Schizosaccharomyces pombe: one gene and its partner. Changing the gene in region 2 together with the main gene of any one other region gives a genetic interaction. Each region holds a gene or a part of one and is shown on either strand. Other genes may lie near its edges. The genes, in order: apm1 and bch1.

Region 1 (15,776 bases), 1.9 Mb from region 2:
ATGATCGTTGGGATGTAGGAGTTCTAAAAAAAAGGGAGAAAATGCATTAATTATATTATTAGCACGCTCTTTCGGTGCAAGCACATCCTGAAGTATACAGAATTGAGTTGTAATATCAACGATGAAAGAACGAACTTCGGTTAATTTTAAAACCCCATAATCGGTTGGAGTATCCTTGAGAATAAAGAACAAAGCCTTCAATATGTCGTGTAATCTATCTTGGATCCAAAGCTTATGATGTGAATCATACGAAAGTATTGCTTTTAAGCCGAGAAATCCAGCATTCTTTTGGTACCACAGTTCCTTATGGCAACTTTGGCAAAACACTGTTACAAGATTTTGAAAACTAGGCAACTTTGATATATCCAATGTTGTGTTGAGAAGCATCTTATGGGCGTTCAAATAATGATCGATACACGATAAAGCATTAGACCTGGTATTTTCATTTTCAGAACATAAAGATTCGAAAATTCCGTTGATGCACGTAGTAAGATCAAGCATTTTAATGCTTTGCAAATTATCAAAAATATTTTGATCTTTTATTTGCAGAGAGTCAGCGTAATTAACCAAATCAAGAACAATGAGCCATTCCAAAGAACGATTGATGGTTTCTCGAGCTTCAGCTACAAATTCCACACAAGACATTGAGCCGACTAAAGATTTAAAAATGTTTGAGACAATAGATCTTTGCAGATAATAAGATTCATCTTTGTCAGGGCACAACCTACCATTAGAGACTTGCTGTAAGTTTTTATCCATGCGATCTACAACTGCTCGGCACATTGTATCAATAGATTCCCAAAAGTCTTCATCGGGCTTCGCAGACGCAAAGAGTAATAAATACGAATTCTTGACCATTTGAAATGCTTGCTTCTTTTCTTCTAAATCGGAATTTTGATTGTTTAAAACAGCACATGAAGACATTAAAAATTTGGAGTGCTCTAAGCTAAAATTCTGAGAGGAGCCTTGGAAAGAAAACTGGATTGAAGGAAAAATATTTTCATCTTGCAAAAAATCAAAGCCAAAGGTACCAAGATATATTTGTCTATTTCGACCACCCATTTTTCCTAATATTCTCACAGCACTTTGATGCAATTGATTATTGGATTGATTAAGGCGTGAATGATTCCACAGGCATATCAGCAAATCCGGCATAATTGAGTCCAATAAAGGATCCAAAAATTCTTGAGTAAGATTATCCAAGCAAAGTTCAAATATTCGAAGCCCTTGACTAGCTATTTCAGGGGGGCCTTTTAATGCAACAATCAATGGCTTCATTAAAAAATTCATATGAGGCAACAACACACTGAGTCTAATGGGTAAAGTCAAACAAAGTTCCGCATACAGCTCTTTTTGGGATGTAGACGTAACAGTAAAAATCAATCTGTTGAAACATTCTAGCATTACTTGGAGAAGTGGTAGTATTTCCTTGTAAAGAGAATCAAATTTTCCTCCACTGATATTTCTAAACAAAGCTTTCATTAAATAAACGTAATTTAAAGGTTCAACAGCATCAGTAGTCAATTCGAGGCTAGTTGAAATGATATAGGATATATGGGGACGCAGGACTTCTGCATTTTTTTCGGGAAAAACATTCACAGTCATAAAGGCCAACTTGAATAATCGCAATAAAACAGAAACCCGAGTGGATTGGCCAGACCCTATTTTAGCTAGATTGTCACAGCAAAAAGACAGCACGATGCCCGTGCAGTTGACAGAAGTAACTTCATTAGACATCCAAAATTGGAAAATATGCAATAAAGCAAGATTATCTACTAGACACTCAAATATATTCGGAAACTCGGATTCCAAAATTTCGACGAAAACAGATGGGTCCAAGTGTAAAAATAAAGTTGCTAACATTTCTAAGAGCTCCTTCTCTTCTAAGAGTTTAGAAGGGTTTGTGGTCAACGAAGAATCAAGTTGAGAGTATGCAAGATTTTTCGAGGACTTGAATACACCGGTTTTTTCATCTGTCTGGTAATAACTGAATCCCTTTAAACTTTCCACAAGTAATCTTCGAAACAGTAAAACTTCATTAGTTGAACTAAGATGTAACTTTTCAGACCATTCCTGAGCTGTAAAAATGGAACCGTTGGCAAGAGGAATATTTCGTTGCTTTAGTCCAAACAAAACAGGCTTAATACCTAATAAGGTGTTTTTAAAAAGAAATATGCAATCTTTTAGCTTATCCAAACCTGAAGGTTGGGCAGCTCCAGTAGGGTTCTCAAACATAGGAAGATCATGTTTATTTTCTTCTATTTTAATTTGCTTTAAGTCAGCATTTTCCTGTAAAGAATCTCTCAGCTTCATAAACTCGAAATTCAGAGAAGTCAATTTTCTTAAGAGACATAAAAGTATAGCAAATAGAAGTGATCGGCTAGTGGAAAAATCTTCTAGTGCAACAATTCTTTCAACCAAGTTTAAAATAAGCTTTGTAGCCATTGCCTGAATAGCTGAAGTATAAAAGTCGTCCATCAAAATACTGAAATAAAGAAGTATGACTTTGTAAATTTGTTGTGGACTTAATTCCATACGCACATAATGAAGCATATCTGCCAGCATGCTAAAAGCCATGGGTCGTAATGAATGCTGAGAAGTGATTCCAGAACCAACTAGAATTTTGGTATCAAGTAGTTGATCTACATACGGTAGAAACCCTCTCAAATAATCCGTCGATAAGACGTGCCTTGTAGCTACCAAAAGTTCTCTTCGAGTCTGATATAATTCGGAAGGACAGTCCATGAACAATTGCAAGGTACATATTGGGATCGAGCTTTCAAACTGTTTAAGAGCAGCACCAAAACTTCTCAATAAATAGGCGAGAAAAGAGAATGATTTAATTTGCGCAGAAATAAGGTCATTGTAAAGATGATTTCGACGCAAAGAAGGGACTACACCAATAAAAACCTCTTTTTGAGATTCTGCAAGTCGACGAGCTTCGGCTTGAGGTGGAGGACGAAGTGAGATAAATTGAAGTACAAGCGGAGCAAGTAAAGGAAGCATTTTCGGAATAAGATCTTTGTATGTTTGAAATAGGAGAAAGACGATAATGGGAAATTCAGCAGTGACCTTGAAACTCGAAGAAGCTTTTGGGATCATTTTTGGACCTGCATGTTCCATTCCAATTTCAGCAGGAGATGCAGAAGATGCAGCAGACATGGGATGAGAGGATGGAGTATTCGGAGCTGATCTAGGTGGGAAAGCTTCTGAAACAACTGTGGTCATGGATTTGTAGTTTTCAACGACAATGGATAAAAATTCCTGAACATGTCCCTTAGCAAGGCTACTGTGGTCCTTAAAAAGAAGGACAACAAGCTTCAATGCCAACACTGCCATCTCTTCATTATCATTAACGACTATACGAAGAAGCACGGCAAAAGTCCGATTAACGAATGCTTCAAAACCTTTATAGGATCCAGATTTCTTGAGCAATTCAAGCAATGCAATGCGTAAACGATGTGTAGCTGCTAACGATGAAAATACAGGACGTTCCTTTTCAAGCAAAGACAACGTGTCCTCCAAAAGAGGAATGAAAGTTTCAAAATTCGTCTTTTCAGTTACCAACACATCATCCAGTGCATCTCGAATTTCAATTGCTGTGTTTGCCTTTTGCTTCGAGTCTAATCCAACATCACAAAGCCGATTATGCCAATGTTCGCATTGTGATACATCCATCAGATGCTTGGATCTCTGCGCAAGCTCTTTTTTAAATTCCAATTGCACTCGGATACGTTTTCCTAAGTATTTAACAATTACTATTGGAATGTTGTGGGATAGAGCAAGCTGCATTTCTTTCCTCTAAATCACTTTATGAATTTTACATGTTTTCGCTATTTTAATTAACGGCCTTATTATTTTGTGCGGTAGAAGTTGCTAAAATGATGAACGAGATAAAAATAGCGAGTGATACCACAAAAGTTCGTTTAGCCTCAGCTGCATAATTTGTCGTAAACAAACCATTCATTCATTAATCTGTTCATTACCATTTTTAGGCTACCTTTTAGTCAGTGATCTTTAATATATCTTACCGATTAGTAAGTTAATTGATTTCCAAAATGAGTAAAGCTATGGCGTTGCGACGGTTAATGAAGGAGTATAAGGAGTTAACGGAGAATGGGCCTGATGGTATTACTGCAGGTCCATCGAATGAGGATGATTTCTTTACTTGGGATTGCCTAATTCAAGGCCCTGATGGAACTCCATTTGAAGGTGGGTTATACCCTGCTACCTTGAAATTTCCTTCCGTAAGTCCTTTACTATAAACCTGATGGAGACTGAACATGTGATTTAAGTTGTGGATAAGTATGATGTTTCGCATGTTTTATGTATCAACTACTTATTAAAAAATACGCGCTCTTTTTCATAAATTAACATTTGTTCAGCGTAAATAAAGAAAGTAACTCAATAATCCATTCGTTTAGAATGATCATTTAAGAGAAGTGCTTTTATTCATTAGTAATTGATGAATCCTTCGATTTATTGATGAGTAGGAAGAAATTTTATTTAAAAGATCTATCTAAGTTTTTTTTTGGGGGTTTGGTTTCTTTCTTTGAATCGCATGGCAGTACATCCGGGGTGTTCAAGCGCACGTTGATACGTGCTTAGTTTTATTTTTATTGGATTCTAACTTTTTTATGTAGGATTATCCTCTTGGCCCCCCTACTTTAAAGTTTGAGTGTGAATTTTTCCATCCAAATGGTATGCCAGATACTATTAATCCAAATTTCGAGACTAACCTTCATTTCAGTTTACAAAGATGGGACGGTTTGCATTTCCATCCTACATGCACCTGGTGACGATCCAAATATGTATGAGTCGTCTTCAGAACGTTGGTCTCCTGTTCAATCTGTTGAAAAAATACTGTTATCGGTAATGTCGATGTTGGCGGAACCAAACGATGAAAGTGGTGCTAACATCGATGCGTGCAAGATGTGGAGAGAAGATCGAGAAGAATATTGTCGTGTAGTTCGACGATTGGCTCGTAAAACCTTGGGATTATAACCATGAATTGTATATTTGATTAGATTGCCATGAATAACGAACCTGATAAAATCTAGAAATAAAGTTTTGTTCCATTTTTGAACGCAACCGGTAGGCTTTTCTCTTTCTATTCCAACGTATAACGCTACATAGGTTTAATTACAAGGTTTAAACAAAAATGAAAGCACTTTTCCAATTCAATTTCTATCTGTAAATGATGGAAGATAAACATTTTGTCTATTGAGATAATCCATCTTTTAATAAACATCACTTGAACTTTCTACACAGATACATGGCAACGTACATCGCTGAAAACGAATTATATTGAGAAAACATCTAGAAATTACACAGTAAAAAACTTAACAAAATATAAGAATAACCCCAAATTATGCTCCAAAAGAAAAAAAAAATGCATCAGGTGCATAAAAATATTAGCTTCCCACAACCTACAAAAGAAAGAGGTAAATTTTTTTACAAAATAAAAATCAGAAATTATCAAATAAAACGATCATATTCCATCTTCCAATTTTTCTTCATCACCAGTGTTTTCTTCACTACCTTTAGCAATCTCAAAATCCAGAAAAAGGTCCATTACTTTTTGCTGATTTCGAATATCAGCTTCATATATAGGTGACTTCTCATAAATATTCTTAATATGAGGATCACCTCCCGCTTCCAGTAGTAATTTGCAAATTTCAGCATGTCCATTCAGTGCTGCCCAATGCATTGCGGTGTTTCCACTCTCATTCTGAGCATTTATTACTTCTTTATTCAAGTACGGGATTATTTTTTGAACAACAGCGATGTGTCCATTAGCACTAGCCATATGAAGTCCAGAGTTACCATTTTCATCACGACGACTTAATTCTTGTGGACATTTCTCTATAATCTCATCTAGTAACTCCTCATCCGCAGCTCTACAAGCGTAAATTAAATCATCAACATCCATATTAAACTATCCAATCCAGTAAAGAAGGATGTTTTACCGGTTTATTTGGAAAGAGAATGATGTGAAAACTGTTCGTTTGTTAGTGTAAGGTAGCCGCGGCTTCTCCAACTTGGCTTCGGCAAGGCCGTGGTTACTTACTACACCACAAATTCCATTGCAATTTTATATAATTATTCAACGAGAACCTGCCTTCTACAGCAGGTTAATTTTTGATTTATAAGAAGGAGAAAAAGAAGTTACAGGAGTGTTTATTTCCGAAAGTCATAGAGATTTAAACCAGTATATATGCTTTCCTTGTAAAAAATTTCATTGCTCACACAGCTCTCGATTCCTCATCTAAATAGCTATCTGGTAGCGATTGGTAGACTATTTTTTCGGGTTTATTTCCCATTATATTTCAGACACTCTTTTTGACCTGCGAAACTTTTTGTCCTCATTTTGTATCAATTGACTTCAATAATGGAGTTAGAAAAACGGATTTATGTTGGTGGCCTTTCATCCTCTATTGAATCTTCAGATTTGGAATCCAGATTTTCTCGTTTTGGAAGTGTTTCAAATCTTGAAATTATAAACAAATCTACTCCAGTAGGAACTATACAACGATTTGCATACTTGAATTTTCGAACAGATGAAGATAAATGGCAGAAATGCAAGTCTTACTTATCAAATGCGACGTTTAAAGGAAGTAAACTTCGTATAGAGGAAGCTCGCCCTTATTATTTAGTAAAATTGCAGCAGGAAAAAAAAATTGCTGATCTTCAAAGTACTAATAATGATGAGAAAAATGAAGATCACTCCAGCAAAGTTGATCTGGAAGACCCAGTCTTTCATGGAGAAATAATTGTTCCCGGAAAACATAGTAAAAATATGCAGGTGGTCACGGATTCTGATGTTCGGAAGGATCCTCCTAGAAAAGGTTGGAAAAAAGGCCCCTATGGAAGGGCCATTGTCGTGCTTCGAATGTATAATAAAAATACTAAGAAAACGAGGTTTTTTTATCCGCTGGGTAAAAACTGCTTACAAAAACTATGGGGCCGAGTGGAAACGAATATGGACAATACTACAGCTTTTTATGATTCTGATCATGATGAGTATGTATCATATGGGGGTAAGAGAGCTTCTCGTGACAAAATACGTATGCAAGCAAAATTGGGTATCAAAGCTTCTACTCAGAAGGATGATAACGATTTTGAACTTCTTAATAACACAACTGGGGAGATTGAAGTCACAAAAGAATTAAACGAAGAGCAATTGGATGCTTTGCGAAAAAAAGATAAGGATACGGCTGCATCTGTGTTAGCTGAACTGTTTGGTTCTGAAAATACAGAAGAAATTGATACCGTATCTAAAACTTCAGGTGTTTTGGAACTGGACAATGATTCGACTAATAATTTCCAAAAAGAAGGTTTGGATGAACAAGATAATTTACAAAAGGAAGAGTCCGTACACATAGATGTTCCTGCTGAATTTGAAGCATTTGATGAGCGTACTGCTGTTGTTAACGTTGACAATTTAAAAGAAATGTTTTCTTCCAATGCGCAGGATACGTCTAAGTTTTCTCTTTTTGGCAATGAAAATGGAGTTGGTGAGGAAAGTGAAATGGAAAGTGAGATTGATGACCGTAATTACGAAACTATGGAAGAAGAGGCAGATGGGGAAACTCCGCTAGCTATAGTTAAAGCCTCATCGGGTACCAAGGGTTGGCCAAAAATGTTTACTCTACCCAATCCTTCTTCCCTATTCCAACCAGGTAATGAAGATTATACGAGCAGAGAAGCTCTTGAATCCTGGTGGTCGGAAAATCGTCTATTCTTAACTCGTGATTACAAACGAAAAAGAAAAGATGCCGTAAAAAGACAGCGAAGGGCTCATGAAAAGCGTATTCGACTTGTTTAAAGACGCGTATAGGTTATGTATTTATTGGGAATTTATTTGGGTATTTTAAGGTTACGAGGTATATATTGATTTTTTACACACTTTTGGAATCTTTACGTTGTTATTTCTCTATCCTTTTTATTTTAGAAAAAAATCTGTGTCTTTTTAAAAAGCCACGATGTTCACTTTGGTTTTATCATTGGTGAAAGTTAACAACTTTTTTCGTTGCACTTTCTTGGGATTTGTGGCTTTTAATATTTACAATGTTTGAGATCAAATTTTATTAAAATATTTGTTATTCTTATTGTTATAAGCCAAAGTTGTCAAATAAAACATACCGAAATTTTCTTACATTGTCAGAAAAATTATTTTCCTTTTCGGCATTTACAAAACCATATAATGTAAATTAGTTATAATTATCTGAATAGATTATCTTATAAAAGAAGACTGAATGTGTGCATAGAGTAGTAATTACTCAATATAAGAAGAATTTCGTACTATATGTAAGAAACAGAAATAGTGAATTACGCTGTATTACACTAGCGGTGCTTAGGCACGGTGATGAGGCAGCCAACAGTCAATGCTAGTTATCCAGAGCGAAACTAGCTGCCTTATTCGCGGCTTCTGTAAAAATGGCTTCTGCTATATTCGTTCTGAATTTAAAGGGAAAGGTAATCATTTCCCGTGATTACCGGTAGGCAATTTTGAAATCTGAATGAAAATCAGATTGTCGCAATTCGTCGACAGGTTACTAACAGAAAACAATTAGAGCTGATATCCCCATGTCAGTAGTTGAAAAGTTTTTACCTTTAAAATCAGAAGTTGAAGAAGAACAAGGATTCTCCACCCCTTGTCTCACTCACGAAGGCATTAACGTATGTAAAAGTTAGATATTATGAAAGCCAACAATTCTTATTTTTTTATGGTCGTACTAACACTTTTCAGTACATTTACATTCACCATAATGATGTCTACCTCCTTGCTTTATCCAAAATGAATTCCGATGCAATGGAGATGCTAGTATTTTTGCGTAAAATGGCGGACGTTTTTATAGATTACTTTAAAGAATTGCAGGAAGAGTCGATTCGAGATAACTTTGTTCTTGTTTATGAATTGTTAGACGAGATCATGGATTTCGGTTTTCCACAAACAACTGAAACAAAAATCTTGCAAGAATACATCACTCAAACCTCAAATACGGTAAAAAAGCATGCTCCACCCCCCATTGCTATGACAAATGCTATCTCCTGGCGTTCTGAAGGAATTCACTATCGTAAGAATGAAGTATTTTTGGACGTTATTGAATCAGTTAATTTAATTGCTGCTGCCGATGGTACGGTCATTCAAAGTGAAATCTTAGGAAAAGTTCGTCTCAAATGCTACTTATCAGGAATGCCTGAACTTCGTCTTGGGCTCAATGACAAGGTCCTTTTCGAAGCGGCTGGTCGTACCATTAAAGGAAACACTGTGGAAATGGAAGATGTGAAATTTCACCAATGTGTTCGTCTTGCTCGATTTGAAAACGATCGTACAATTTCGTTCATTCCTCCTGATGGCGAATTTGATTTAATGTCCTATCGCATGAGTTCAAATGTAAGTTATTAGTTTGTGCCTGTTCTTTTTATTCCCTCTCTCCTTTATCAACGTTTTCTAATATTAATTTCTCGTTAGGTACGGCCATTAATTTGGGTTGAATGTGAATCCATCGTGCATTCAGGTTCGAGAATTGAGTTTATGGTAAAAGCTAAGGCTCAATTCAAAAAGCGTTGTATTGCAAATAATGTCCAAATCATCATTCCCGTTCCGGAAGATGCTGACAGTCCTCGGTTTCAAACTAGCAATGGTCATGTGCAATATGCACCTGAACAAGCTGCCATGGTTTGGAACATTAAGAAATTTGCAGGTGGTAAAGAATTTTTCATGCGTGCTGAAATGGGTTTACCAAGTGTTAAAAATGAAGATATTCAAGTTCAGAAAAAACGTCCTGTTCAACTAAAATTTGCTATTCCCTATTTCACTACCTCAGGGATCCAAGTTCGTTATTTAAAAATCACCGAACCAAAACTTAATTATCATGCTATGCCTTGGGTTCGATATGTTACACAAAATGGTACTGAATATTCCATCCGTCAGTAAATGTTTCTAATGATGGTTCTCCGTTCCGTTCTTTTTTCTACCTTTAGATACCTTTCCCTTCATCTATATATTTGTTTTCTTAGTGTACTGATCCCATTTATTACGAAATGAAATCTTGTTTGCAGACGCGCTAATCCTTTTTCTTACTCAGCTGACATAAAAGGAGCATTTGCTTGAAACATAAATGTCTAAGTCTATTTATTGTATAAAGGATAAGTTCAATGTTTTTATTAAAACAGAAATAAAGATTTTCTAACATACAATTCCATTTACTCAGTAGTGAATCTCCGTGTATTAAAAATACATAAAAGACAGATTGTTCCAAACGGTTTTCTAAACATAATAAATTAAAAACCAAAAGCGAGAGAATGAGAGGGAGACCGGATAGTAAGAAAAAGATTGAAGGGAAAAGTTTAAAGGTCTAAGGGTGTAATGAGTTTTCAAGTACGTATTTACTTTGGAGGTTCAATTCCGAAAAACTTAGCACGGATGGACCACATGTTTTCACGGATGCTTCGTTCCTTCTCGCCCCAATACGGTGACGGAAACTCTTCTTCAAGAACAGGTGTAGCCTGTTTACACCAGTCGTGTAGCTTGTTAATGTAGGTAGCGTCTTTTGGATAATCCAAAGAGTGATACATATTATTTGCTCCACTCAGCGAAAACATTAATTCGTCTTGCCATTTCAGCTGCTCTTCTTTGCTGGGTAATTTGAGGCGACCAGACCAAACTCGCGCGAGGAACGCTGCCTGTGCTTGACTAGTAGGGAAAGGAACAACGTGTAGAGCTAAACCAACAAAAGCCAGAGTTGGATCGGGGATATAAAATATATGTTGATAGACATTGTGCACATGACTACCATCATCAATCAACTTGGTTTCAGGGGATTTCAACTTAGCCAGGGAAGGAAATGGTACGGAATACAAGTATCCGGTACAATAAATAACTCTGTCAATATTAGATAACACTTTTCCACCTTTCAAGTATATTTCCCTAGTGGTAGGATCGAACTTAGTAATTTCAGGTACTTGTTGCAACGATTCATTCTGTATGTCCCCTCCACCAAGAAGACTTTGATATATAGGGTGCTTAGCGACTGGCGTCAAGTGTCGGACGAGATCGTTTGCAGAAGAAGCACCACCAACTACAAGTACTGATTCACCCACGAATAATTCTGGTTCACGGAATAGCGATGAGTGTAGAACTGACCCCGGCACGGCTTTAGCGTATTCATCGAGACCTTTAATATTGGGGATATAGGGTACTTCATAATGACCATTACAAATTGAGACTGCATCAAAGATATCTTTACTAATCGGGCTTCCGGCTTTCGTTCCTTTGTATGTCACGACCCAGGAGCCATCCTTCTTTTCTATATCTAGGACATCGGTGGCTAATTTTATAAAGGGCAGCAGAGGTTGTGCATATATCCGTTGATATTCCTGAATGGTATGTCGATGGGGGAATTGAAGAGTTTGGGGTTTAAAGCTTTGATCACAATAACCCATCAACTCAATTGGGGTATTAGTTTGCAGATCACGATACAAAGGTGAAGGATACACAGGTAAAGCAGCTGGTCCGACAATGGGTTCGGTTGTTAAAATGGGATTTGTGCTAGGAACCGGTAACTTATTTGATAAAGTACTTGTATAGTTCCAAACACCACCCGGAGACCCCCTTCGCTCAAAAAGCGTGACCTGGTCAAACGCCTTTTCTGCTAACAGCGCTTTAGCCGTAACTAATCCAGAGGGACCAGCACCAATGATTGCAATTTTTCGAATTGTTGGAAGACACATAAGAACAAAAGAGAAAATGATAATTTTTTGATTAGTACCAAGTAAATTAAGATATTTTTTTTTCTGTACAAAGAATAACAGAATGAAACAATATCCAATTGTGAAGGAGTGTAATTGAATGAAAACTACACTTTATGTGCGTTTTATATCTTTGCACGTTCCGATTGTCCTCAATCTGCCAGGGGGCCTTGAAATCGCTGATAAAGCTATAGCTTATTGGCTAAAAAATAGAAGTGCTGGTTAGCGATACACATATTGAAGCCAGACACTATCTGTATATATAGTTTGTTATGGATTCAAAAACGCATCCGCTTTTCGCAACTTTAAACAATCTTTTCATCATACTCAATATTAAGCACGACTAAATTACAACATCCGATCAACATTTTAGTAATCCAAGTTCTGTTATAAGCGAGCCATATGACAAAAATGGGACATTTGAATTTCTCATTTAGAGCAAATTAAAATAATAAATGTAGTTTACACCTCTTGATGGATTTAATAATTAAGATCAAGCTGATATCCGAATGTAAATTTGACCTTGGCAACGGATTATCAAAGAGAAAATTTTTTTAGCGTCCAATGATAACAGCGTTTAAGAATTAGTTACTTATAAAGACCGAAGCGATCTTCCAGATAATGAATAGCAATACATTAGATGTGAACCTATTAATGTTGTTTAAAAGATCTAGTAAGGGCATTTTGAAAGGAAATCATGCTGATGAAAAAAAAATATATCTTTATCTTCCTAACACTTCTTGCAATGGCCATAAGAGAAAGTACGTCTCTGCTGCTCATACTTTTCAAGCATGTTGAATGCTTCAAAGTAAATGATTATAGTAATTTCCCAAATAAATATAGTTAGGTGACTTACTGACTCCGCCTAACGCGTAAGTTGGATTGTTGAAACAATTAAGCTCTTGCTGTTACAACGGTATAGCTTAATACCCAAATAATTACTTAAATGCTTTAAATCATCATAATACCAACAAACGTTCGTTTTTATAATCAGAGACAAGAAGATTTTAAGATTTGCAGGGAGGTATACTCATATATAAATTCATTGTATTTTAGAGTACTATCAATTATGTATCTCAAAGAGTATATAGTAATACATGAAATAAAAGTTTTTAAAGTTGAATTATAATTTGATGTTCTATAATTGGGGTGAATGCACCCTAATTGACAATAGAGAATTCTACGAAAAAAATCATGCATCCAGGATAGTCATATAGGATTTTGGTTAAAATTGGCAGCACAATATAGTTTTTGATGCAATTACAGTTAACATGCATAATACTTGTTTTGAAAAAAAGTTATGAATAAAAGCTCAATTGTAAGCACATCACAAAGAACGATTTTTAATCGTAATTGACGATATGTAATTTTGGATTTCATATAAAATTGTAACTACTTATTAAATGATCATTAGGGGAAATAGCGCACACTGTTTTATATCCTCTTCAAATTTACAAAATGAAATTAATCAATTTTAGCAATTTACCTATTTTATATGATTGAATTGAATTGAAAAAACCATGAGTTGATTATGACGCTGAAAGAAAGACATATAAGATCCTTAGGACACTACAACTCTTTCTACTTGAATGCGAAAGTGGATTGGTCTCACCAAAAGATTACCGTACACAAGAACTTCGGTGCTCTAGCAAGTTTTCTTTCAACCAGGGCAATTGCAAAACGAAGAAATTCTAGTGGTACACCACACTGTTAAAAAAAATTGACTAGCATATTAACATTGTTAGATTATTCACTTTTTAAATTTGGAAATACGAAGCTTCAAACATAAGCCATAATAAACACAGTGAAGGCTTTAGCATTAAATTTATTAAAAACACTGCTTAGCAGTTTGTAAAGTCAAATGTTTGCTATGAACATTTTGAGTAAAAATATAACAAAGATTTATTCTTTTCTATACAAATCAGAAAATATATAAAAACAAAACATATAGTGAAATTAACATATATAACAGAAAAGGAAGCAATGTAATGAACAAAGCGATCTAGACTAGAATATGTCAAGGAAACATACTTTACGACGTACAGCCAGTCTAGTGAGTAAAAAAAAAACACACTCTTAAAACAAATACCAAGAACACGAAAAATAAAATGTTGTAATATTTCTGAATGTATTGGTTCAAATACCAGTAGTGAACGTTAGTATTAACAGAAAGAAATCCAAAAAGAACGAAAATGCACAACGAATAAAATAGTATGAAGCAAGATAATTAAGTCCGAAAATAAAAATTCCGTACCATGGAAAAAGGTAATGGAGATCACTTACAAACAGAAAAGTCGCTGCTGAGATGCAATAACAAGAGGAGATGAGAGATGACAAAAACTTTTGGGAAACTTAGGAAGAAGAGGATATGGAAGTGACGGGACGAACATCGTTAAAATTTGGTTCCATGGTAGGAAGTTTGAAGGCGATTGAAGGACCTGCCTTTAACATCGGAGCAGACTTCGAGGACTTGTGTAAGTCAATAAGTAGTTGAGCATAAACCTTGGTTTCCTCGGATTCACGGACACGTTTAACAGATTTAGGGCTTCCAGAGTACAAACATCCTTCTACACTATTGCAAACACCACGTTTACGTATCTTCTCCATTACTGCTGGGTTTTCAGGTGTAAAATTAATTTCGTTTTGGGGAGACATAGATACACGAATTCTTCCATTTTCGGATGGAACGGACTTTGCATCTTTACTGTCACTATCCACACGAATTCTCTTGGCCGAATCACCCAAGAAGGCATGAGGATCTAGCTCAATGGGAATCTCTGTATAAACGGCATTCTTAGCACAGGGCGGCTCGACCGGATAATTGTACTGATTTACATAACGGTTTTCATTCTCAGTAGTCGCAGAATCTGGCTTGACAACTTCAGAGTTTACTTCGACTTCCTTGGGGCTATCCAAAGTAGAATTCTTCAACTGAGCCTGCAGCATCTCCAACTGCTCAAGCAGCTCGTTGTTCTCCTTCTGTAACTTTCCGATCGTATCCTGATATTGTTTTTCACGAACACGGAATTTGGCTTCCTCGACCGACAAAGCTGAAGTCGGCCCAGGTCTTGGTTTAATAGGTGCCTTTCTTCTTCCCAGAGCATCTAACGCAGGTTTCCTTCCTGGTTTGGGACGAGGAGGAACAACCCATTGTTTAGAGACGCGAATCATCGGCTTTTGAGGTGCTGGAGAAGCAGAAGATGATTTTTCCACTTCCGATGGACTTTTAGACGATTCCATGAGCAAAAAAAAAGTTGGGGGGATAGGAGATATCAAGTACAGAACTACACTTTTAGCAAAATATATAAATCTTTATTTTCCAATACTCCAATGCCTCTACTGACCAAGCTTAAAAATCTCACTTTTTCAAACGTTTGTCGTTGGTGGTTTGTTTTAATCTGATAAAGAGATACGATTAAATTATATCTGATCTAAGTGCCGTGTGGTTCGATGATTGTACTGTTAACCCGGTATGCAACACCTCGTTATATCTTTAAAGACTCAATTTTCGGGAAAAAACGGATTAGTGAACAGGTCGGCTTAGAGGCGCTGTTGACATACATTCTCAATACCCATCATTTCAGTTACAGAACCAATTAAAAAACGCGGGTATGGTGGACATCATCTGATTAAAACCGATCGACCTAATAAACTCTGGGCTCTGGCTATGTAATACTACAATCATTCGGCACACCAACTATCATAGTAATGCTTATCCATGTTACTTTTTTGGAGTTAAATTAATGTTCTGACTCACTGCTTTTCTCATGTCATACCGTCCTTTGAAGATTATTTAACATTTGTTTATATTTTTGATATAATGAGATGAAACGAAAGTGCACTAACACATGTGACTGTTTTTTGACTCCTAGTATATAAGAAATGTGAGTGAGTTAAAACAAAGCTTCATCTCACAAAATAATGAATTACTGATGTCAAAAAGTCTGCTCTCTTCTAACGCGGTTATAATATAGAACCGTATTAATGGTTGCAGCTTTTTCCTCTTCATGGAATCGGTA
Region 2 (16,571 bases):
ATGACAATTGACCTGCAAGCTCCCTTGATTGTTGTTCGAGAAGAATGTACGGATTTAAAAAGCCCTACACTGTTCCTTGACGTGGGTAGAGCGTTGGTACATACCCAATTAGTTGATGATGCGATTATCGACAAATTCAGAAAACTCCAGAGCAAAAAGATAAACAACGAGCAATTAAAACAACTAGAAAACTTGATGTACGACAAGTTTACCATCTCATTATTTAATGTTCGATGCTTAATTGGGCCTGATTATGAAACTGGTTGGCGTTGCTTACCCAAAGGGTGTGATTACCATATTTTGAAAGAATGCTCTCTTGACATTAACTTTGAAATATCAATCCTTCAAAAAGCTACTAACTTAACGAAGTTCAAAGTTTCAAGTCATATGAAGCATGCCGAAATTATGTTTTCTGATGTGCAATATAAGGTATTCATTAATATGATGAGCAATATATTGCCTACGCTTCCTGTTGCTGAAATACCATTTACATACCAACAATTCCTTGACGCGGTTAAGCCTCCTCCTTTCTTTGATGCTCCTGATAATTTTCAAATAACTCATACTTCTCTTGGAAGTCATGCTAATGAAAACACCGCTGCGCAATTTATGGCCCAGCAAATTTTTGCTTTCTATTTTAAGGTGGATTATGCTATATGTTCGTTGTACCGAAGATCTGAAAACTATCTCATACCTGTGGTAAGAGCATTTACAGAGTTTTACATCGACCTAGTAGTGCGAAAATTTGATTACCTTGTTACTTCCAAGCTTAACGACTTGGTTATTAAAGAATTTACATATCCTTCTTCTCTTTGTGACAATGTTTTAGTTCGTTCTTCTCCTTCACCTAAAAATAACTTTGATGATACCGTTTTCATCAGCTATACAAGCATTGATTATGACTCTCCTGAACTAGATTCTGTTTACGAAGGTGTTCGAACTACCATTGCTGTAGTCCTTTCTGATCTCATTCTCAACGTTGAGCCTACTGGATTTTCATTTGTCTACGATTTTATCAGAGCCACTTTTACCTCTTTAAATGATGAGTATATGATTGGTGAAGATCCAGAGTTGACTCGAAAAATTTCACCAGTTGAAGGAATTATTCCAGAAGACGCCAACGTTCGGTTTGACAACGTAGATATTTTTCTTTATGACTGTGATCAACATTTTTCAACAGTTTGTCTGTATAGTGCTAACATGCATATGGAATTCAGAGAGAAGTTTTTCCTTCAAGCACGATTTTATGACCTTGAAGTTAAAAACCATATGAAAAGTAATAATCCGCCAAAGACCATTGTGAAGATTGACGATAATGATTTATTTATATTTAAATATGAGAGTTATGACATTCCAAAAGACATATCGAAACCTACATGCGACTGTGTTTATGATATATCTTTTGGCTCATTAACTTTTTATTTTCAAAAATCATATTTCAATGCAATATACGATTTTTTATTAAAGTTGAAGCGATTTCAGGAATTATTTAGCTCAATTAGATATGCGATCTACTATAAGCTTTACGGAAACAAAGTTAGCCTAACTTATCCTAAATTTGAGCTTCGAATTAAGCATCCAAAGGTATACTTTGATGATGTATTAGATGAAGAAAGAAATTGTCGGATGCAATTGATAGTGAAACCCCAATCCTTTTATGCGTTTAGTAAATGTCCGATTGTGGAAAAGAACTCGAAGAAATCAATATTCAGTTGTGAAATAACTAAGGTTGAATTTCATACTGCCGTCCCTAGTTCCTCGCATCACGATGTACTAATGGAGGAAAATAATGTTCATTTGGACCTTACATATGACGCTAATTACACTACTGGTGCTTATGTATTCAAAGCAACTGGTGATTTGGATCCTGTCATATTAAACATGTGCCAGTCACATCATGTTATTTTCTGGGATTTAATCGATGTAGCCACTACCTTTGCTAGAGTTGATTCTTCATTTTATACTTCTGAAAACCTAAGACGAGAACTGGATAAGGCTTTTGATAGGTCCGGTACTGCTGCCAAATTAAAACATCCAAAAAAAACCGTAGTAGAAACTTTAGATATTCTCACTACGTTTAATTTACCTGAAATACGTCTCAATGTGCACACCGATGATTTCTGGATTCACGGTGGGGATTTAACACAATTGCATTCCATATTAAGCTTCTTTGGATTCTCACTTGATTATAATTTTTATTCAAGCGGTCGTTGTTATGCTGAGTTTTCAATCGATTCTATACAATTAAAAGATTGCAATCCTCAAGATAATGTCGTTTTTTTGGATGTATTAGAATACAGTGAAAATCATAACAGACTTGTCAATGGTTGCCTTGAATATGATTCTCAAAATCCAAGATACAACCTCGTACTAGATATTGATTCACCGAAGATATTTGTCAATTTGAATTATTTGTATTCTATTTGGTCTATATTTGTTCATTGGCATCGTGCTTACTATTCGCACTTGGATTATTTAACAGAGGTTGAATACTTTATTATGGGAAATCCAAACCAAAATGCTTGTGGAGAAGAAAGCTATTGGTACTACAGAATTACATTTGTTGATATGACTTTGCTCTTTTTTAGAAACGTATCTGATGCCAATCTTTACTCACTACCAATGTTTTTTGGAGAGCTATTAATTACCCAACAATCGATCTTTGCGGTTACTGCTAACAACATGAAGATTAATGCTTGTCCTCTCAGCGAGACGGCCAATATATCTAATCAGTTAGCAGACCCTTTTGGATTTCGTTACACATATTCGCAGCATACCGTCAACAAAATTCAGATAATCACCAACATCACTCTTGATTTTGATTCGTTTGTCTTAAGGACTACAGTGAACGACTTTCTGTTCCTCCAAACTATTTTACGTAAGATATATAATTTTTATTATGCCCTATACGATGTCCCCACAACCGATGTTGAATTGCTGAAGAGAACGAAGGATGATCAACTAGCGACGAATCCCGATTTTCTTCAATTGTCAGTAGACACCGGTCAGCCTTCTTCTGTTTTTGGAATACGTATATGCAAGGAAGAATTTTTATTAACAGTTGACGGTATTCGACTATTGGTTATTAGTCAACTACATGATCTTCCACTTTTAAATATTAACATTAAGCCTTTTCAGGTAGATCTTAACGATTGGTCTTCCGAGTTAAATTCAAATGCACATTTGGAGCTTTTTATGAATTTTTATAACTTCTCTAACTCTCATTGGGAGCCCTTTTTAGAGCCCTGGAAAGTAGGTGTACATATTTCTAGGAATCCAAACACATCGAAGACTGCGGTACATGTTTTTTCGAGAGAGAAATTAGATCTGGTTATTACTCCTCAGTTAATTGAGACTCTACATTTTGGTTTCACCAAAGTTATCAGTACTCCATTTCCTATTGAATTCAAATGTGACGCACCTTATCGTATTCACAACTACACAGGACATGCTGTTAGTGTTTGGGCAGATTTTGAAAATGCTGCAGATTCTTGCGTTAGACATCTCGAAAATAACGAAGAAACCGACTGGAAATTTGAAGAATGGAGACAAATGCAGGATGTGGTTAAACAAGATCAGGATAGATCTTATATAGGGTTCCATTTCGAAAACAGTAAATGGGAGTCTTTACGACATGTACGAGTTAATCGTGTAGGAGAGCATATATATCCCTTAATTTCCTATGATCAAGACGAGCTAAAGCATTATATGGTAGTTGATGTCAATTTGGGAGAAGATTATATTAAACATATCACTCTACGTTCCCCACTTTTATTGATAAATGAGACCCAAATGGAAATAGATGTAGTTTTTTGCGACTCAGATGGCATTCAAAGGTCACAGATATACCACATGAGCCCTGAAGAGAGTTGCTCTTTGCCAATTGAAACTGCTTATTATTATTCAATTCACATTAGACCGGTTTCAGAATTTAAATTTAATTGGACTTCGGAAGCTATATCTTGGAAAGATCTAGTTGACAACAAACAGAGCCTTGTGACATGCCAACATTCAGATAACACCTTCTCGACTCCTGCGTGTCGTTTTGCCGCTAATGCAGAACTTAAAAGTCAAACTATATCCAACCATTATCCTTTTATGCATATTACGATTTCTGCGCTCCTAGAAGTGAAAAACTTATTGCCAATTGATCTTAACATTCGAATCATCGATAAGGACCAAGAGGGAGTATGGATGTCGAATGTTGGTATTGGAGAGTGCGCATATGTTCACTCGATAAATATTTCCCACGTTTTGCTCCTACAAGCCGAGTCATCAGAGTCGCATTACCTTCCCAGCTCCTTGGCTACTATTATCACTAACGACTCTGCTCAAGAAAGAGATGAGTACATGACAATCACTCTTCAGGGAGGTAGAAAAACAAGATTAGGGTTGAGTTATACTGAAAAGTATCCTGGAATTTATCACATCGAAATTTTTAGCCCGTACATAATAATTAACAAGTCAGGGTCCTTTCTGTTTGTTGGTCCAAAAAATGATTACAACCGTATTTCTTTTTCTTCAGCTTCTCTTTCGTCTGGGGAAGACGGCAAAGTTGTTCCATGTATGTTTTCATATTCGCATAACTATGGCAGCAGAAGATGTCGGTTACGAGCAGATAATTCTAATTGGAGTGAGCCCGTTAGCTTTGATGCGATTGGCAGTGTGTTTGAAGTAGAATTACCTTCCAAGGAAGACCATAATAAAGTTTACAGATTAGGTATTTTTGTTGAAACGGGACCCGATGGTTACTCGAAAACTAATATCGTTACAATAACTTCTAGATTCATAGTGAGAAATAAAACAAGATGGAGTTTGGTGATTGCGGAGCCTTACAACGATTTTATTGCGGAAATCGCTCCTGAGGGTGAAGAGTTTTTGACATATTTAAGAAAGCATTCACACCCGATGTTAAAGCTATCCTCCTCAGATTGCTACCTTTGGTCATCATCATTTTATATTGAGGAGATAGGGTCAACTCATGTACGTTTAATGACCTCGGAAGGGGAAAAACTTTTACGCTTGGAAATTGTCATAAAAAATGCCACAATCTTTATCAGTATATTTGAAGAGACTGGGGACTGGCCATACTATATAAAAAATGAATCTGGTGTTTTGTTAAAATTTTGGCAGGTAAATCCTATTGATGCCTCAGAAGGAAAGAATAATACTGCTTTGTTGAAGTACCATGATATACCGCCTCATTCAGAGGTAAAGTATTCTTGGGATTATCCCTGTTGTGCTAATAAGGAAATTGCTTTATGCTATGGTGATCAAAAATGCTTAACTACTTTGGCAGAAATTGGCCCCCTTTCTCCCTTTAAATTCACCGATGCTTCCAATAATACAAAATTTATTTCACGAGATATAGTCGCTAATGGGCTTTCGAAAATTCTTATTCTAAAAGACTATGATCCTTCAAAGGCTGTGAGGAAGCCGAAGATATACAGCAAAGTCTCAACTGAAGAACGCGATTTTAATTTGGAGCAATTTGACTCCGGGATTGACTTGTCCGTCAAATTTTTGCTGGAGGGAATTGGGATATCTTTGGTAGAACGGAATACGCAAGAATTAGCGTATTTGACCTTTCATGGGATCAACTTGTTCTTTACAGATTCCCATCTTATACGCACTTTTAAATTAGATGTTCGATGGATACAAATTGACAACCAGCTTTATGGAGGAATTTATCCAATTATCCTCTATCCAAGTATTCTATCACAGGAAGACACAATGAATGACAATTCACTTTTACCAACGTTTCACTCAATGGTTGCAGTTGTCAAGAATGATACATACGGTGTGACTTACGTAAAATATGCTACTATATTACTTCAGGAATTAACTATTGAAATTGATGAGGACTTTGCTTTTGCTGCACTCGAATACATCAAGGACTCTGTGCCCCGAAGCAAAAGAAATACCGGCAAGATGTTTGATGATTCGCTGGAACTTGTACCAGAAAATCTAGGAAATGATTTGAAAGTGTATTTTGAAGTGCTTAATTTGCAACCCACTGAAATGCATCTGTCTTTCGTTCGTACGGAGAGGATCAATAATACTGATGGCACCGTTGTCTCTTCACATAATCCATTTGTCTTTTTCGTGAATGTTTTATCAATGGCAATAGGAAACATAAATGATGCACCAGTCCGTTTAAATGCTCTTCTCATGGATAATGCACACGTTTCTCTCCGCCGTCTTTTTGAACTTGTCAAAAACCATTATTCTCAAGAACTTTTATCCCAAGTGCATAAGATTGTTGGATCAGCAGACTTTTTGGGAAATCCTGTTGGCTTATTTACCACAATAACGTCCGGTTTTGCTGATATATTTTATGAACCCTTTCATGGTTTTATCTTAAACGAGGGTTCTTATGAATTAGGTATAGGATTTGCCAAGGGTACTGCAAGCTTTATTAAAAAGGCAGTATTCGGAATCACTGACAGTATTTCAAAAGTAACGGGCACTATTTCAAGAAGCTTAAGTGTGATCACATTGGATCCCAAATTCCAAAGCCGAAGACGTGCTGCTCGTATCAGAAATCGGCCTGTTCATATACTTTATGGAGTGACAGCTGGAGCTGCGTCACTTTACACAGGAGTTCGAAGTGGTGTCAGAGGATTAGCCTTACAACCTATTATTGGAGCAAGGAGAAATGGACTTCCTGGCCTTGTTAAAGGCTTAGGTAAGGGTTTGGTGGGTTTCACGACAAAACCATTGGTAGGGTTATTCGATTTTGCGTCAAGTATCTCTGAAGGCGCAAGAAATACAACAACTGTGTTTGATGAACGACACATAGAAAAGCTAAGATTGTCAAGACTGATGAGTGATGATGGTGTCGTATATCCTTTTCAACTACGGGAGGCTTTGGGACAGTACTGGCTAAAACATCTCGATAATGGAAGATATTTTAAAGATTTTTATAAGGCTCATATCATTATTGAAAATAAAGTGCTTGTGATCTTAACGAATAATAGGATATTGTTTGTTCAGCCTCAACAGCTTAATTGCAAAAAAGAAATTCATCTCTCCAAAGTTAAAACTGTTAAGTTACAGAGCAAAGAGCATATCTTTCTCCAACTTTTGAAGGGTGTAAACTTTGAATTTTCTGTCCCCGAAAACTCCGTTCGGACATTTTTCTACCGAAAAATTCGAGACGAGCTTGCCGCTTATAAACACAAAGTAAATTACGAGCTAGAGGTTGCTCTTTAATTTTTTTGTTTATTTGTTATTGAACTCTTATGAAGGAATTTGTATATATTAATGTTTTGTAAGCAGATAACGATGGCTTGCCTTTGTTCAACTTCACGCTGTGCTACATCAAAATCCTTTGATTTGAAGTTATCATATTGAAATAATTTGAAAACACTTCCATGTGCTTTGAAATACTGTTTCAAGTTTAAAGGCTACTTTTGTTTCTACCGCTTACAATGCTCATGTCATATTATCCACTCGTTTTTAAAAATATTTATTTAGCCATTCCCTGTATGAAAAATACATTTCAAAAAGTTGTCAAGATATCCTATAATTTATGTATGTATCTCGCCATACGTAGACGTTACTATCATTCTTGATTAGTCAATAATGAACCAGCATCAAAAAAAATTTAACAACTGTTAAGAAGAAAATTTATCTTTATTATTTTGTCCTATATAATTTTTACAATTGTTAACTTATTGTTTACGAAATTTTGTTTTGAGATGCCAGGTTGACATGGCAACCATAAATGCTGGTTAAGAAAAATAAACAAACGTGAACACTATAGAAAAGAATTGAATTTCTAATCAAATGTTAGACAATGACAACTACACCATTGGGAAAGATGATCCAGGATGGTGACTTTGTATTCCAAAAAGCGAAGAAGGGCACTACGGTATGTAGCCGGGATGTATTTTCAAATACGTTGATGGGTTGTAGGAAATTCTTTGTTGTACTAATTGCTATGTAGATACCCAAGGCAAGGAAAAAGACATTAACAAAAGATTTACAAGTACAAGTGGCGAAAGAGCTGGAGCAAGAATCATCGTCAACTTTCCGATTTGCTTACGTCTTCCCTAGAAAAGCCCAAAATCACTATTATTCACCGAGTCGGACACATACAAGTAGCATAAAAAAGAAGAGGCCTAAATTGTGTTCTAATATAAACCTGACACCTTGGTCATTGATTGATTCGACATCTAATAAATCTATTAGAGAACAATCTCGAGAAATGGGGATTATAAGCATACAAAAGTGGGCTGAACAAGCAAGGATGCGCTCACTCTGCTTTCCAAAAAATTAACAAAGTCTGTACAATTACTTAAGAGCTCTTGATAGGAATATCATATATGATTTAAAAATGGTAAAAAAATTTTATTCATGACCAGAATATTTATATGCGTGTTAGATAATATATATAAATTCATTTAATCTCGATGAAAACACGAAAACGGGAAACAACATCACATGTTTTGACTAAAGAACGAAAACCAGAACGAAGGAAACGTGGAATAAAGAAAGCAAAGAATGTCGCTTGAAAACTCACTAGACGAAAGCTTTAATGAGTCTAAACTTACAATTCATGGCCAGGAATTTGAAAGGCGATAGCCCATTCAAAATACAGCTTATGTATAAGATTAAGGATATACGGATCAAGTCTAGTAGAAGCAAGGATACTCTTCATCTTCAAAGCGCCATCTTGCATAATGCGATTTTTCATTTGCTCCAGAAGAAAGGGGGAATACTAAGATTATGTTAGCGTTTTATAGTTATGGAATCTAAAAAAGAAAAAAACTCACCTCTTGATACCATCGGTAGTTATAAAGTGTTAATTTAGCGATAGCGGTCAAAACGAGCTCAATATTATTGTCTTCTGAATAAATTATCAAAAGAGTTTTCCAGGCCTTAAAAGAAAACATACTTTCCAAGCAAGCGCAGAATGCTTCAACAGCCTCAACACGATGATGCAACCGAAAAGCAACCTCACCTAGTATTTCCCATTCTGCAGGAGCTTTTCTGTAAGCTAGACCTTGAGATTTAAAGTGAGTATATTCAGCGCGCCAAATCGTAAATACACGTAAATCCTCATATAAAACCATAAAAAGATTATCTAGCCAGCGCTCACAGAGACGTTTACTCTGAACAGTGGCATTTTTTGGAAGAGAACCAACAGATGTTTCTGGTTTGTCTAAACCAACAACTTCTTCTGCAACGCTTTCTTCTGCAACTTCGTTTTGATCGGGAGAAGCGTTTCCTTCTGTAATATCATTTAAGGATCTATATTCTTCTTCCATCACAAAGACAGCTGAACGAACCCGCAATAGTTCATCCCAACCTATTTTGGCACATATAAGGGTGAGCATTTCATATGCCTTCGCAAATGTACCACGAAGACTGGGAGATGGTAGGCGAGCTAAGTAAGGATCGGTAATTTCGGTAGAAACTGTATAACCGTTCTGCGCATTATTTTCAACTTCCAGTTCTTCTTTAGGAAAATTGACAGGAAATGGTAAATGAGCACGAGCACTAGGAGGCAAAGGATAAGCATCTCTTTCATAGTAAGTATACATGGGACAGGAGTTTAGAGCTAACAACGCTGATTTAAAATCCTCCAAATGCAAGTATACATCAGCCAAACATGCCCAAGTTGCAAATTCTGATGGAGAAGCATGAACGGCGCGCTTAGCACAGATAAGTGCAAGGTCATAGCGCTCTTTTGAAATCAGAAACTTAACTTGAACAATAAGCAAACTAGCGGACATTCTTTGTTTTAGCAATGAATCATGCAAGATACGAACAGCATGCACTTCATGGTCCATTAGTAAGTATAGTTCAGCAAGCAAAACCGATACCTCTGGAATTGACACCCGGAGCTTTTCAAAAAGATTTAGAGCAGCACTGTAGCGGCAGGTTTGCTTCAAGTAAGCGAAAATTCCACGAACCAAATGATTATTTACATGCGTAGGTACCCGAACTTCAGAAGAAGACCCTAGAGTATAACCTAACGTAAAAAGCTGTTCGGCAGCCTCAAAAAATCTTAATTCTGCATCAGGATTTGGAATGGGGTTAAAACGACGATGTCCTGCAAAGCGAGAATTTGTATCATCAGAATAAAGTAACGAACGAAGGACTTCAGACATATATGCTTCTGTCCACATACGAGCATCGACAATATGCTTTTGCCCATTCTCATCAATAGCATATGTGTCAACACCTCCAGGAATTTTAGCTTCCACACGAACATCAACTTGAGAGAAGACATTGTAGCAACAGTAAACTCCGTGACTAACACGCCAAGCGTTTCCCTTCCCAAACCATTGTTGACTTTTATCAAGAGAATAGGAAAGCGTATTTAAATATGCCGCTAGTGAAGCTGAGGAAGAAGCATCAACTCCAGATACAAAGTGATAAGTTCCAACCTTTGACGAGGTTAATAATACGTAAAACGTTAACGTTTCAATAGGAGTGAAAAGTTTGGTAAAGAGAGACTTGTCTTGATCCTTTCCCCACTAATCTCCAACATCATTAACACTACAGCTTTCGCTGCTTTAAAAAGTGACATACCTCTTTTGATGGATTTTTTGCATTAACTTTTATAGTATTGACCTGATCAGGAGGCCCGAGTTCTTTAAATTGTGCGATGGATTTAGAACGCGCATCTAATGACTCGTTTACACGAGTTTCTAAAAACCTATCGTCATTGTTTAGAACTTCAGCTCAATTATATTTAAGGAACTTACTCTGGTATATCCTTAAAGAATGAATCACTCATATATCATAAATTGGAATTAATATGCAAAGCAGCGTTCAATTCGGCCTCGTGGCTGGTTCCAGTTAAGAGGTTATGGTGTAGCCGCAGCCTGACTTGCTGTAACGAAGTGTAGCAAGCGACAATTAGGCAATCGTCCACAATTTCCTTATATATAAAGAATAAATAAATATCATTAAATTATGCATTTAGTGTATTTGAAAACCAAAAAATAATTGAATATTATACATTTTGATTTGTATCTTCATTCATCCTGACAATTGATGATTTAGGGAAGTCAAAAGTAGTACCCAACGAATAGTGTAGCGATAATTTTTTCTTAAGATTACAACTCATTGATTAATACAATTGAAATAAAAATTTCTTGTTGGTGCGGAATCCAACGCAATTAGTATTAAAAAAAAGAACAGCTTTATGTTAGTTTCCACTAAAAGTTAGACCAGTCATACGCACAATGTTAGCTTTAAAAAACTCGCACAATACGCTGGTAAGCATATGATAAATTAATACAATACTTCCAAGCAATTGCGAATGTAAGTTGCTGTGAATTTTTTTCCGAATTTCGAAATCTTTAACGAACCTTTAATGAAACGTCTAAAAGTAGAATCAGGAGTTATTGATTTTTGCATTATATATCTCCTTGACAAGAAATTTTTTGTTTCATCTAGCCATACATTTTGATAGATGTCTCTTGCAATGAACCATTGTTTGTTTAAAATATCCTAAAACCAAATAACATGTGCGAATACGTTATTTAATAGTGCAAAATTCTACAAAGAAAGAATCGAAATTTATGCTTAAGCCATTCATGTTAACGCTCATCAAGAAAGCTAATTTGACTAAATACAATCAATGGAGAGTGCTAGTATACATTGCTTGTTTTAACTGACATTTTTAAATTAACTACGATAAGTGTTAAGATTAAACAAAGTGAGAAACGTAACAGTGCTTAAGTTCAGTTTTCTTGCGAATGTATTGAATTACTTTCACTTGCCCAGCTAGTAAACAATTAAGGCTTTGGTACCGCTTTGTCCTTCTAATAAATTATGGTTAGTAGCGAAAATAACCAGCCTTTTGACTGATGAGAGGTATATATTCATTTGTCAATTCAAATTAATACGGCCTTTTGAATATTTATTTACTGAATAGTGTTGATTAATAAAAAGGCAATCTGTATAGCGATGAATCGTTAGCATCACCAAAGTCATTTTAATCAAACTGCGCTATATTTTACTAAGAAAAGCACGTTACCAATGTTAGATTAACGAATGTACATATTGAACTCAATAAATGTGTCCGACCCTTACCGAACGGGGTTTCAAGAGAGTGTCATGGATTTTAAGTTACCGTTCCCCCATCTCTGTACGATTTAGCAATTCATTGAGAAAATGGCTTTTGCTTGGAAGAAAAACTTTAGGTATGGATTCATTTCTTGAATGTGAACATTAAATATACCCTGATAGTTTTACTAATGAATGAATATTTGTAGTTATAGCAAATATGCTTCTATTTGTTCCCAAACTGTTCGTCAAGCCTTAAAACCGGAAATTAAAAACGAGGTTAAAACTCATGGTGATGCAGAGTTCCTTTATACTCGATGGAAAAATGGCGCTCAGGAAAAAACGGAGTCTTACAATTCGGCAAAGTCTGCTGATAAGGAATGAAAATAAAGGCTACAAACGAATTTTTTGTCCTTCATTACCCATTGGTAATATTTCAGCTTCATTTGATGTTTCACTCATTTCAACAGATATCACTGATGGTTTACAATCTCTTATAATGATTACTATATTCGACTTAACGTTGAATTACTAACTGATCCTTTCAATAAATTTTTATTACTTTTTTTAATGATGAAGTTTAATAGAACAAGGTAGTTTGCTCTGTTTTCTTAAAACTGTTGAGAATGGCACTTCAAATCATTGTGGTTGCTCTGTATTTTCGATCAAATCTATAATCGGCCTTTGTCTCAAAACCAAAAATTGTTGATTTTACTATAATGAGATGTAGCTAATTTAGAAGTAAGTGAGTTTTGTCACTAATATCATTCATTAACGTAGTTTTTGTTTTTGCTACTACCGAGATCATTTATAGTCGCATTACACAGTAAACTTACTACAATACTATGTTCTTAATTGTTTGTATCGTTATCTAGTTTCTAAAAAATGGCTTCAACGTCGAACAAAATTGCTTGTTCTACTGTTTTCAAACAATCATGCAAACTCACCCATTAAAAAATTTTTAATTGTATGAATACAATTTTAGAGCCCGAATGAAAGAAACAGGGTATACATACGAAATCGCATTACATTCAAAACAAACTCCACTTGATGCCTTGTACTCTTTCTCTTCTTGCAAGGATATAGTGTATCGTTTAACTTCGCTATTTAGTGACTACTTGGGTCTCTAGATATGCCACTAAAGACGTGTTTGAGACCTGTCTGCACCTGTCTATGTTGGCGTTTGTAGTCGAAGGCAACGTGCGGTATTAACGATGCAGAAAATCAACACACTCTTCTTTTTGAAAACCACGAACTAAATACGTTACACAGCAAAGACAAAAGTCACCACTTACGCTTTCTTAACGACATCAAAGAAATTACTAAACTACTTTGATAAAGTCTGTAGTAAGAGAAGAGTTACAAAACAATATCCTTATGATAAACATCCCTTAAAACTATAAAAGTTTGCTTTTGATTGCAATTCATAATCTGTTCCTACTTAAAAAAGTAGTCGTCACCCAAGTTCAAAAGTTTGTTCAGTGCATCAAAACATTAAAGAACCAGCCTTAAATTGCCTTGGGAATTAGTGAATTCATACCGATTTTATGACTTAATATAAACATCTGTAAACGCACTGATTGATTTCCTGAGGTTTTGTTTGCGTTGGGAGTTTTTAATTTTTTTTTTGTTATTAGCACTTATTTTAATTATCTTTGCTTTTTGAAGGTGTGTAGAGAGCTGAAATCTGAATTTAGGACGCTCAATAGCTTGATCTTCCAATGCAGGCTTATTGCTCAATGCTTTTGCGGAGTATAGTATTGAAAACCACAGTTGTTTGACGCTTTTTGTAATACATCGCTTCCTTTATCTACAACTTTAACATCTTATCTACATACTTTTTTCAATTTCTGGTTACAGTTTTATACAGTGATCAATTTGGAAGTCTCATATTAAGGTTATGGCAACGTTTACTCCTCTAAATGCGGCCAGTGAAGATCTGGATAAGGAAAAACGCACTTTAGAAATCCGAATTGAAGAAGCTGTTCAAATATATCAAAATGCACTTTCAGCCCAGAAGCAGGGAGATGACAATGCTGCTACAAAGTATTACGATGAGCTATTGAATGTTCGAATTCTTCGCGAACTCCCTTTTACCGTTAATTCTAATTATAAAAAAAATAATGCTTTATTGCTACTACATTACCTCACTAGAAAAAATCATGGTTTGTTTTTGCTGTCAAAGCTACAATCTTTATTATCCTTAGATCCTTCAACCGATCCCATCCCTGTGTATCGGGACGCCCTGCTCGATTTTGCTATTGCATTGGCTTGCGATTACAATGACATAGAACTTTGGTCTTTTGTTGCCGAGTTAGCTGAAAAATTGGAAATGCCAAGAATTCAAAGATTTGCTTTAGAGTCATCATTTTATACCGGCTACGAACCCTTTGACGCGGAGAGAGTATTTACGAATATTGATGATTTAAATCCTGGGAAGCTTATCTCTCTACAAAACCTATACAATTTGTTAAAAAAGTTAGGCGGTATAGCAGAACCCTTACCGCAATTGGATTTGTCGATTAGTTCTCTTTATACTTTGCCTTCTTTTTTTCCTCAATTACCCACTCCTTCATTTCATCGAAGGTCCATAAACTTATGCCCGAAAATAAAAAAACTTCAACTATCTCATGACACTCTTCATGGTTTTTTAGATCTTGTTCTATATGCATTACAGATAAATGAAAAAAAAACCCCGACTCGTGGTTTTCCTTCGACATTAATTATTCATGTTCATTCCCTGAATTTGAGCACCGCAGAATCGCATGATTTGGAATCCACTGATTCAGAATTATGGTCTGAAATTTCAGATGCAGGGCCCGATACTAATACTATTAATACAGCTGCAAAATTGTCTGAACCTGTTTATGCCAAGGACATTGTTCCACCTCCTTCGGATAATTTGCCTAAACCCCAACTCCTTAAGAGGCCGATAGATGATTCCGATGTACGCATTAGTAAAAGATCTCGTGGTAGAGACTTACGAACGCCTTCAGAGTCGAACTTGTTTTCTTTGATTGCAAGCATAACTTCGGATATTAATGAGCAAATCCAAAAAAGATTTCCTGACGCAACTTCCCCGTTTTCAGGTGAATCTATGTTTCGAGAATATAGTTCCATATTTGAAGACTATCATCAATTACTAGTTAATTTTCCTAGCGAAGGCAGTATTCCGGACCTAGATGTTTCGACCGACTCAGCAGCTAACGGAGCTTTCTCCAAAATGATTCTTATTGATTTAGCTATGCATAGTGCTAATAGACTTGAGCATATGCAGGTCCCGGATGGTTATCTTCTTCAATTATTAAGTGAAGTAAATAGTCTCAATATGGTTCCCGCTGAGCTTGCTACATTCTTTGTTGAGAGTATGTTAAGGCCTCGAAAATTAGAGCCTCCATTCTATTTGCAGCAATGTTGGGGGAAAATATTTAAAAAGAAATTTACTACAATTTGTGAGAGAATTGAAAGCACTCTTCACGAACTGGTGAAGGCAAGCTTACAAACCCCTGAAGTTTTTAATATTTCACAATCGCTTTTTGAACTGTTTTTAGACGATTACTTTTTAGCGCTCAAGTTTAGCTCCAATGATCAAAAAGACGATAATGTTTCTGAAATACCAACTGAGTCATTGGAATATAAAAAATTACGTTGCTTACGTTGGAAATCTCTTACTGAACAAGTAGTCGAATTGCAGCCGTCTTGTAAAAGTTCTAGCCAAAGACATTTGATAATTAGAAACTCATGGGCTCGAAACTTATTGTTACGGTTAACTGGTTGTTCTAGTGAGGCTATAGTTGAAAATTTCAAACAGTTGCGTTGTCTTTTGCAAGAAAACAGTGATTCTCTTGAACTTTTAAACAGTCAATGCATGGCAGATTTGAGCGTTCAGGTTGTCGATTTTGAACTTTCCAAATTACAAACCGTTGAGTTTTTTAATACTTTATTTATGAATACCAAAAACTTGGACTTTAATGCCGTTATAAAAAATTTGGAACCCGTCCTTTCTCCTGAAAACAAATTTGCAGAAGATCCTCAAGCAAAATTTATTTCTCAATTTTTGGAAAAGACTTCTACTGAATTTCAAATACACTTATGGTATTTACTGTATCAGGCTTATAGCTCAGCACATAGACCTTATAATTCGTTGTTGTGTGCCTTTCAATCGCTAAAAATTATTTTAATTAGGCTTTGTTCTTCGTCATTCAGTATTCAAGATGCCGGTCGCCGTCAGGCTGAACTACTCGGCATGCTTAATTTTTCTTCAAATTTATTCAGGATTATTTGGCAAAAATTACATGAGCAACCTGATATATTGTCTCCCTGTAACGAGATGACTGTCATTGATTGCATTAGAATTATCCTTATATACTTGCGCACTTTTGCTATTTATGTTGGAATAGATGAGGACATTTCGGATCAAAGGATTCCAAAACCTTCAAACCCTGAGTTTGATTCTTATGCTCAAACGGTAAAAGATTCTTTGATGAGTGGTTGGTGCATATTTTACACTCTGTTTGCGCATTTACTTCATTACGATTTTA

Evidence for each region.
Region 1: of bch1 (region 2) and apm1, changing one enhances a phenotype caused by changing the other (phenotypic enhancement), as found in Schizosaccharomyces pombe (one study listed by BioGRID).

Annotation. Positions count from the first base shown.
Region 1 is NC_003423.3:1,901,741-1,917,516, forward strand, and holds apm1 (AP-1 adaptor complex mu subunit Apm1), read left to right. Parts: upstream 1-8,400; 5' UTR 8,401-8,439; coding exon 8,440-8,501; exon of another isoform or gene 8,502-8,576; coding exon 8,577-8,682; exon of another isoform or gene 8,683-8,752; coding exon 8,753-9,400; intron 9,401-9,478; coding exon 9,479-9,943; 3' UTR 9,944-10,075; downstream 10,076-15,776. Other genes in the region: SAGA complex, phosphatidylinositol pseudokinase subunit Tra1, read right to left, coding at 1-3,678; ubiquitin-conjugating enzyme Ubc7, read left to right, coding at 4,059-4,247, 4,644-4,701, 4,751-5,004; ribosome biogenesis protein Yar1, read right to left, coding at 5,492-5,932; ribosome biogenesis protein Nop8, read left to right, coding at 6,392-7,828; fmo1 (flavin dependent monooxygenase), read right to left, coding at 10,396-11,739; CCAAT-binding factor complex repressor Php4, read right to left, coding at 14,110-14,997. UniProt on the Schizosaccharomyces pombe protein: Component of the adaptor complexes which link clathrin to receptors in coated vesicles. Clathrin-associated protein complexes are believed to interact with the cytoplasmic tails of membrane proteins, leading to their selection and concentration.
Region 2 is NC_003423.3:3,780,030-3,796,600, reverse strand, and holds bch1 (ChAPs family protein), read right to left. Parts: upstream 10,814-16,571; 5' UTR 10,754-10,813; coding exon 10,722-10,753; exon of another isoform or gene 10,673-10,721; coding exon 10,546-10,672; exon of another isoform or gene 10,523-10,545; intron 10,401-10,522; coding exon 8,781-10,400; exon of another isoform or gene 8,726-8,780; coding exon 8,555-8,725; 3' UTR 8,288-8,554; downstream 1-8,287. Other genes in the region: vps1301 (lipid transfer protein), read left to right, coding at 1-7,215; SPOM_SPBC31F10.17C (uncharacterized protein), read left to right, coding at 7,826-7,876, 7,952-8,284; F0-ATPase epsilon subunit Atp15, read left to right, coding at 12,139-12,167, 12,240-12,414; histone chaperone Hip3, read left to right, coding at 13,931-16,571.